Linked DNA regions of Callithrix jacchus. The protein of the gene in region 1 purifies or fractionates together with the protein of each later gene. This does not show direct contact. Links are inferred from orthologs where the notes say so. Each region holds a gene or a part of one and is shown on either strand. Other genes may lie near its edges.

What was found.
Region 2: the proteins of HNRNPA2B1 (region 1) and HNRNPH1 purify together in Homo sapiens (affinity purification with mass spectrometry; 5 studies listed by BioGRID and IntAct, with this or other methods). This does not show direct contact. The link is inferred for Callithrix jacchus from reciprocal best matches to the Homo sapiens genes HNRNPA2B1 and HNRNPH1.

The regions. Positions count from the first base shown.
Region 1 is NC_133512.1:31,907,941-31,911,885, reverse strand, and holds the end of HNRNPA2B1 (heterogeneous nuclear ribonucleoproteins A2/B1), read right to left. Parts: intron 2,900-3,945; coding exon 2,780-2,899; intron 2,525-2,779; coding exon 2,402-2,524; intron 1,782-2,401; coding exon 1,720-1,781; 3' UTR 1,699-1,719; intron 1,543-1,698; 3' UTR 1,044-1,542; downstream 1-1,043. UniProt on the Homo sapiens protein: Heterogeneous nuclear ribonucleoprotein (hnRNP) that associates with nascent pre-mRNAs, packaging them into hnRNP particles.
Region 2 is NC_133503.1:72,027,442-72,032,351, reverse strand, and holds the start of HNRNPH1 (heterogeneous nuclear ribonucleoprotein H), read right to left. Parts: upstream 3,237-4,910; 5' UTR 3,150-3,236; exon of another isoform or gene 3,037-3,149; intron 2,399-3,036; exon of another isoform or gene 1,995-2,398; intron 1,873-1,994; 5' UTR 1,842-1,872; coding exon 1,745-1,841; intron 37-1,744; coding exon 1-36. UniProt on the Homo sapiens protein: This protein is a component of the heterogeneous nuclear ribonucleoprotein (hnRNP) complexes which provide the substrate for the processing events that pre-mRNAs undergo before becoming functional, translatable mRNAs in the cytoplasm.

The sequences.
Region 1 (3,945 bases):
TAGATTCAACCATTTTGACGCTACCTTCTTTCAGTCTCATCCTGATAAGCATGTACAGCTAGAACCATAAATAGAACAAATGTCTTTAATAAAAACCCCTAAGTTCACTCAAAATGTTTGATACAAGAAATGTGAATACACAAGGGTGTAACGATGGGAAATCTCATATTTATTCAACTTGCAGCCTAACTTTTACCTACCATTTTACTACCAACACCACTGAAGGAACCAAGAAAAGCTTTATTAATGATCACTTGGCTTGCCTCAGCTGTTGAAATGAAGCACTTTACAGTCTTTGTGGCAGCAGAATATACTTGTCCATGGCTCATATCAATGCTAAAATTCCAGCAGGGAAAAAAATGATATGTTAAGCACCTGAATCTTCACATGGAGGGGGAGGGGAGGGAAAGGAGGAAAAAAAGGGAACAACCAAAATAATTTAAGTAAATGACAGATTGGAAAACAGGGTTTATAAAAATTCTCTTGAGTTTATAAATTGTTAAACTCAATTTATAGCTATGTTAAACTACGTAAGAACCACTATACTGAAAGACCATTGAAGAATATTAGTTTATCTTTTAGGGAGGAAAATTAAGAAAGGAAAAGTAAATAAGATCTTACCTAAAGAAGTTTAACTGAAGCTTAGAACTATTTTGCTCTACACCCTCAGCTTTCGTTGGCATCCTTATAAACTACTGTAGTTAAAGTTTTGTAGAAACAGCACAGTTTTTTAAGACTGGCTGAACTTAGTAGCCGTCAAGAGTTCTCTTGTACTAGACCTGTGTCCCTGAAGAGTACCTCGCTGGGGTTATTTCCTTTCCTTGCATTGAAGAAGCAGCATCTAAAAGATCTAAAAAGGTGTTTCTCCTTGCAGAGATATCCCTTAAGTTATCTACATAATTTAATCCTGATGAATTGCAGACAACACACTTACATCTGACCAGCATTTATCTTACACAAATATAACAACAGCTTTGCAACGAACCTTAATTATACTACCCACTCCTTAACTTATTTAAAATAAAAAGTCTATAATTACACAATTTCCTTTAGAATTATTTTATTAAATCATAAATGTACAACAGCTTCTTAACTCTACACACGCACTTAAATTTTTTTAAAGGAAAAACGTTATGTCTTATTACACCATGATCCTGGCTAATAGCTTTTCAAAACTTTGAGAAAAATCTTAAAAAAGGTTTCACATGTCACCTGAAACTTACAAATTTAACATTATCAAAGAAGGAATGCTTCTACACTCTTACAAAGACCACTAGAAAGAAACAACAATTAAAAAGCTAAGAAACTGTCTCAAAGGCATTTTTTTTTTTTTACAATCCTTCCTCCACAGTAAGGTAATGTTATTAAATAATCCAATCCATTCACAAAATGGCTCTCTGCATCTGCTCTGGTGTCTTCTGCCATATCACTGCATATTTATGCATGACTGAGATAAGAGTTTCCTTAACATTGTTATTTCGATAACCTGAAGCTGTTCTGTTACCTCTGGGCTCTCATCCTCTCCTATTTATACAGTGAAGCCTGTTTCAACAGAAGTAAAGAGTAAAAAAAAAATAGGTTATGAAATTATCCATCTAACCAGATTTTAAGGAAAGATAACATGATCCTAAAAAGCTTTTACTCCTGCAGCTAGATCTCCCAAGATAATAATAATTGTAAAACTCAAAAGCTACTTACCCATGGCAAAGAGGAAGAAGCTCAATATCGGCTCCTCCCACCATAACCCCCACTTCCTCCACTGCCTCCTGGACCATAGTTTCCTAGAATTGTTGGAACAGAGAGAGAAAACAAACTTAGATTTCCCATGATCAGCCTACTACAGTTGATTCTATTTTATATCTATCAAATCTTTAAAACAAGCAGATCCTAACTTCTGCAGCCAGTTAGCAGTATTACTTGGGAGATCAATTACTCAGGTTTTAATTTTGTGGCTGACACTATTCTTTTCAATAAAGGGTTGGTCCTCTCACCATCATTTGGACTAAGATTTTTTTAAAGTACATCAAGCACAACACAAAATGTATAGTCCTGCTAAAAACCTCAAGAATAAACTAAGCAATGGTTTGAATCACAGTTGGAAGTATTTAACTTCAAAGACCCTCATACCAAATTTATACCCATTGCAATGCTGGTTGTATTTTTACTTGGCTGTTTATGAGCCCCTACCGGAAATTCTTTCAACTTCTCAACATCCCCACTTCCACCACAATTTGATATTAATTGCTTGCTAAAGTATTTCTGGAGACTTATGCATTAAGACCGCATATAGAGCACTGTCCAAATACGAACTACTTAGTATGGTATCTTCCCTTTAAATCACGAAAGGCTAAACCTTTAATCACAAAAACCTGAACAATCTCAATTTTTAGTTATAAATTACCTCCACCATATGGTCCCCCCATGTTCCTGCTACCACCAAAGTTTCCACTCTTCATTGGACCGTAGTTAGAAGGTTGCTGGTTATAATTTCCAAAATCATTGTAATTTCCACTGCCATAATTTCCTATAAATAAATTGAAATACTGACATAATGGACCTCAGAACAATACAAACATTAAACCAATGATACATACTGACTATTCAGGCCAAAGCTCCCACAAAAACAAATAAAACCAAACACTTATCTTTAACTTTTAAGGGCCTCCAGTGACAAATATTGAAATAAAAGATCAAGTGTTACAAAACCATTGATTCCACCCCCAATTCCCCAAATAAAGGATCTTATAAATTCCCAGATAATTGCCTGTGAATTTATTACCTCCTCCATAGTTGTCATAACCACCTCCGTAGCCCCCACCCTGGTTGCCATATCCAGGTCCTCCACCACCATATCCTCCTCTTCCTCCTCCATAACCAGGGCTACCTCCAAAATTGCCACCTATTATAAAATAAGCCTTTAAGTAATCACTTAATATTTTTAATGACATTCTTAACTGTCTCTCACACCCATTTATAACTTTTCAAAAATACACGTTTGTATGTGAAACATTCAGTGAGATCCCTCTAAAATAAAATAGCCTCAAGGGCTGAATACATACCCTTGGTAAACATTTGATGGCTGAGGTGCCTACCCAGCCAAATGGACAACACCATGTCTATACTCTGACAATACCTGTAATGCCTCAGTTTTCCCTTAAAACTATCTTAAGGTTACCTTTTCAAAGTATCTTGAAATACTGCACGTACATTTTGGCTAACGATTGCAAAACTAGACTAATAGTGGGCTTAAGGGAAGTAAAAGAGCACCTCCTCTTACTAGCCCAAAAGATAAAAGTTTCTATTACGTCTACCTACGAATTACCGTATCTTTCTAAAACCATGTACTTAGCTGGCTTTTCAGACTTCCTCAGACTGGAGTGCAGTGCTGTGATCTTGGCTCACTGCAATCTTGGCCTCAAGCCTGTAATCCCAGCAATTTGAGAAACTGAGGCAGGCAGCTTGCTTGAGCCCACGAGCTCAAGACCAGTCAGGGCAACATAGCAACCCCTCTCCAAACCAAAAAAAAAAAAAAAAAACACAAAATTATCCATAATGGTGCACACCCTTGTAGTTCAGCTACTCAGGAGGCTAAGGTGAGAGGATGGCTGGAGGCCAAGGTTGCAGTGAGCCAAGATCTCACCACTGCACTCCAGTCTGAGGAAGGAGGCCAGACACCATCTCAAAGAAGGGGGGGGGGGGGAGAAGACCCAACACTCCACTAAATATGTTCTTTACCGTATCCTAAATAGAAGTGGGGAAAGAAAAATTTACTTTCACATAAAACAAAACTTACAAAAAAGCCTGGGGGCTGAGTCTCAAATTATAGTTAAGTACAATAACAAAAATTAAAATTTTCATTATAAAAGTCAAGAACAGTGAGATATAGTACTAACTTAGTCATGCCTAATGAATGGCAACACCAGAAATCAAGTTTATTACCAGTTC
Region 2 (4,910 bases), on another chromosome or scaffold:
AACGAATACCTTGAGCCCCATTTTGAATTTTGCAGTCTGGAAAGAAAACAACCGTTAATACAGAATTTAAAACCTAAAACCACCTCTGGGTGACACAGATGAAATACCTATTCCATGTCCCCCACGCCAAAAATTACATTAACTTGTGAAGACTATAATGACCACGGTATCACCAACTCCTAGAATGCCAATTAAAAAAGAAATCTCATTCCCAAGGGGATCTATTTCCAACCCATCAACATCCAATATTCAAAGCAGTTACAGAATGAATTTCTCTTTTGAGTCCTTGTTACTCATGTCTCCATCACAAATCTTTTATCAATTTCTCAGAATACTATCAAGTCTGTACTTTGTGACTTTATGGCAAACATACTTCGTTGTGAGTTGTTTTGGTCTGGTGCATTTGTCAGTTTTACTTTACCAGCAGCGACATTACGGTTTCTCATTCAAATCCAAATTGCAGGCCCAATACTAACCTGAAAGGGAATCAGTGTTACCAAGCTAAAATGCTCCAAGCTGCACAGCTGCAGCCAAACCCAGTGTTGCCCCCTGCAAGGTGGCTTCCAGTGTACTTGGTTCTTGTTTTACAGGTCGTTTTCCATTACCAACGCTAAATTCAGATAGTAAGTCAACACTACAAACGTCTTACCAAAAGCTGTCAATTTCATCCAAATAGAATTTCATCAGTCTAAACTAATTTCTTTTCCCCAGTCTAATGCTGCGAACAAGAACATTCTGATAGAAAATACTCAGGAAAACTGTGTACTGGAAAAAAATTTACACAGGCAAGAAAACTTCCCTGGGCTTCAGCGTCTTCAACTGTATAGAGAGCCATATCAAGAACTAGACTAGCAAACACATCTCAATTACCAAATCTTGATTAGGAAAACCGAAATTAAGACGTGACACTTTAACTTTCCGAAGCAGAATGCTCATTTTCAAGGAAACACCGAAACTGTAAACAAGAGGTTACACTTCAAGATATTCCAAAACATTACAATTTGTCTAATCACTCGGGAGATTTTTCTCAAGATTCAAGAAGAAATCCCATCTATGCCAATTTATCCTTTCCAAAAGATACCCAGACAGGGAGCAGTGGCTCACGCCTGTAATCCCAAGCACTTCTGGGAGGCCGAGGCAGCCGATCATTTCAGGTCAGGAGTTCGAGACCGGCCTGTCCAATATGGTGAAACCCCCGTCTCTACTAAAAATACAAAAAGATGGCCGGGCGTGGTGGTTCACGCCTGTAATCCACGCACTTTGGAGGCCAAGGCGGGCGGATCACCTGAGATCGGGAATTCAAGACCAGCCCAACCAACATGTTGAAACCCCGTCTTAAAAAAGAAAAAGAGTACAGTAAGTTAGCCAGGCATAGTGACACACGCCTGTAATCCCACCTATTCCGGAGCCTGCGGCAAGGAGAATCGCTTCAACCCGAATCGCAGTGAGCCGAAAACGGAAAAAAAAAGAAGAGCTGGTGTTCAAAGGCAGGTAAAGAAAACAAGTCTACCAGATCGGCAGCACTCCAAGAAACAGGAAGGCGGCGGGGCTTTCGAAATTTCCATTGCGTAACAGCGGTCGGCGGGGCGCGAACAGCACAGCGGGAACTGCAGTCATCCGCGCCACGCCAGGGGGCGCCCCGAGTCCCGCCCGGCCCGCCCCAGCCCGGCTGCCCGCCAGCCCGCCCGCCAGCCCGCCCGCCCAGGCCTCGAACTCGAACTCCCGCGTTCTAGTGGTAACTCACCAGAAAAAAACCTCTGCACTTCATCGGCCGAGCAAGACCAGGGCAACCCCCGGACCTTCACCACGAATCCCTCTCCACCTTCGGTGCCCAACATCATTGTCTCTTACGCGGTCCGACGTCGAAACAAACTGCAAGGCGGGGAGGAGGACCAGACCTGAGAGCGCCCATTAAGCTGTGCTCCGCCCCCGATGTACCCCCCCGGGCCCGCGCCACCCGCCCTACGGAGCAAAAACCGGGCGGATGCACCCACCCCGGCGACTCCAACACCCAACACTTCCTCGGCCAGCGAGCGGACCCCCAAAGCTGCTCTGGGGAGCAGCTGTCGGCGCTCCGAACCCTGGGGGCGGGGGTCGAGAGCCAGCGTGGAGACAAGGAAATGGCGGCGGCCGCTTCCGCTCCGCCTCCTCCGACTTCTCACACAATAGAGTCCGCGCGGCCTGCAGGCCTCGGCGGCGGTGCTGGGATTCAGCGAACAACTTTCGGTTCTCGATGGCTGCCCGCAGCTAGCCAAGATCCCCGCAGCCCTCCCAGAGGTCGGGAGGAAAACAATCCTAGCAAAAACGGACCCCACAGCGGGGGTCGCTGGACAGCTAGGGAGGACCGACCGCAACTCACCCTGACACCCAACTCCAGCGTGGGTAAGACGAAATGGCCAACAGGCGCTTGCGCAACCTAAATAAGGCCCTTTGTGCGAGCTCTGCGCACGCGCAGCCAGCTGCTCGCCCCGCCCCCTTGCGTCACAAAGAGCTCTGACGCATGCGTAACTTCAAGAATCAGCCTACCTCCGGTTGGTAGATTATTACACGCCTGCGTTTTGGACTCAGCACCCCCACCCATTAACCCGCCGGGCTTTTTATTGCGCCTGCGCTTGATCGCGAATATTGAACTTGGAGCCTCAGCGGTTTATAATTGTTTCTTGCGCATGCGTCTTCCTTGAAACCGTTCTCTAGCGTTACCCGCCAACGTGGGGGAGGGGAATGGCGCCGCCAGTTCCCTATGGGGCTGTATAGGAGTCCCGACCTCTGGGTTGTGATGAGGTGGGCGTCTTTCTACCCCTTACCCCCAGTCTTACCGGGGCGCTCCTGGCCGACCTGAAAGGAGGAGCGCGGCCTTCGGGTGTTCCCACTCCCCGCGCCGCCTGTCTCCCCTTTATCCCAAAGCTGGCCGGAGCTGATCAGCTGCAGATTGCCGAGCGTCTTGGGAACTATAGGGCTGCGGACGTCCAGCACCCGAAGCCTCCCGGATGGTGCCTGGGGCACGCCCCAGCCGTGTGTGCCTCCACTTCCCCTTACCTGCCGTCGTCGGGCCTAGGGCGCTGGTCGGCGCGGGGTTCCCGTGCCTGTGGCTCGCGCCTGTACCCCGCTTTTGCCTAACGAACTTGCATCCTTTGTACCTCTTGACCCACCTCCGGGTCGGCGGGCCTGGAACGCCCTGGGGCCCTGGCACGAGGACGGGTCGCCGGGTACTGCCTCGCGAGCGCGATCTCCTCTACGGGTGCGTGCCGGCCTCTGTGCTGGGATAGGCTCCGGCTGAATCATCCCAGCGCTGAATTGGTAACAGTGCGTGATTCCCCAGGTGGAGACCCTGCATTCGAGGCCCCTGGGTCACCCGGTGTGCACATAGGCTGCGAGATGAGTAATGTTCGTGGTTTCTAGCAGCACTGCCCAAAACCGAAGACTCCAGAGCTTCCCAGGCCTCCCTCTGTCTAATCTGGCTGCCCTCTTCACCCCAGCTCTCGTGGACACAGGCAATAAATTAACCATAAGGTAGTGTTGGACCCTGCCGCAGGGCTAACTCAGGTAGTGCAGGCCTGAGTGCCACCCTCGGAAGATTCGGGCAAAGCATGTTTCCAAACCCAGTGCCACAGAGGCCGAATCCAGTTTTGACAGGTTTGAGGAAAGTAGAGAGGACATCCAAAGAAACACAGGAGCCCAGAGCTAAGGAGGGCCTGATCTTCAAAGGCCACTTCGGCCTTGGCAAGGGTGTTAACTGCAAGTCCTGTATAAAGGAAAAGTCTTGCTGGATGTGAGGGAGACGCAAATAGAGAGCAGGCAGAGGGAATGATGGTACATGCCATGCACTCTGCTGCAAACAGAACTAGAAGCACATACCTGTGGTACCATTTCAGAAGGCACTGTGGCTGAGGTCATCAGAAAGAGAGACTCCCACCAGGTGCAGTGGCTCAGACCCGTAATCCCAGCACTTTGGGAGGCTGAGGCAGGTGAATCACTTGAGGTCAGGAGTTGGAGACCATCCCGGCCAACATGGTGAAACCCTACCTCTACTAAAGATAACAAAAATCAGCCAGGTGTGGTGGCATGTGCCTGTAATCCCAGCTACTCAGGAGGGCTAGGCAGGAGAATTGCCTGAACCCAGGAAGCAGAGGAAGCGGTGAGCAGAGATCACACCACTGCCCTCCAGCCTGGGCAACAAAGCAAGACTCCAACTCAAAGAAAACAAAACAAAAATTAGCCAGGCATGGTGGCGCTTGCATGTAATCCCAGCTACTTTGGAGGCTGAGGCAGGAGAATTGCTTAAACCCAGGAGGCAGAGGTTGCAGAGAGCTGAGGTCACGCCATTGCACTCCAGCCTGGGCAACAAGAATGAAACTCCATCTCAAAAAAAAAAAAAATACTAGTGAGGTAGAATAAATTTCATACATTTATAGCCAATTCTCTTTTACATAAATTGTCCAACTTACGTAAAAAAGGTTTTTTAATTTTTATTTTTATTTTCCTTTTTTTTTTTTTCTGAGACATGGCCTCACTCCGTCACCCAGACTGGAGTGCAGTAGTGCAAACATGGCTCACCACAACCTCTACCTCCTGGGTTCAAATGATCCTCCTGCCCCAACCTCCTGAGTAGGTAGACCACAGGCATGTGCCACCTTGCTCAGATAACTTTTTTATTTTTTTGTAGCAATGGCATCTTACATTGTTGCCCAGGCTGGTCTTGAACTCTTGGGCTCAAGGAATCATCCCACCTCAGCCTCCCAAAGAAACGTACTAGGATTACAGGTGAGAGCCACCATGTTTGGTCATGAAAGAAGGTTTTTTTGTTTGGTTTTGTTTTTGAGACAGTCTCACTCCGTCATCACCCAGGCTGGAGTGCAGTGGTGCAATCTTGCCTCACTGCAACCTCTGCCTCCCAGGTTCAACCAATTCTC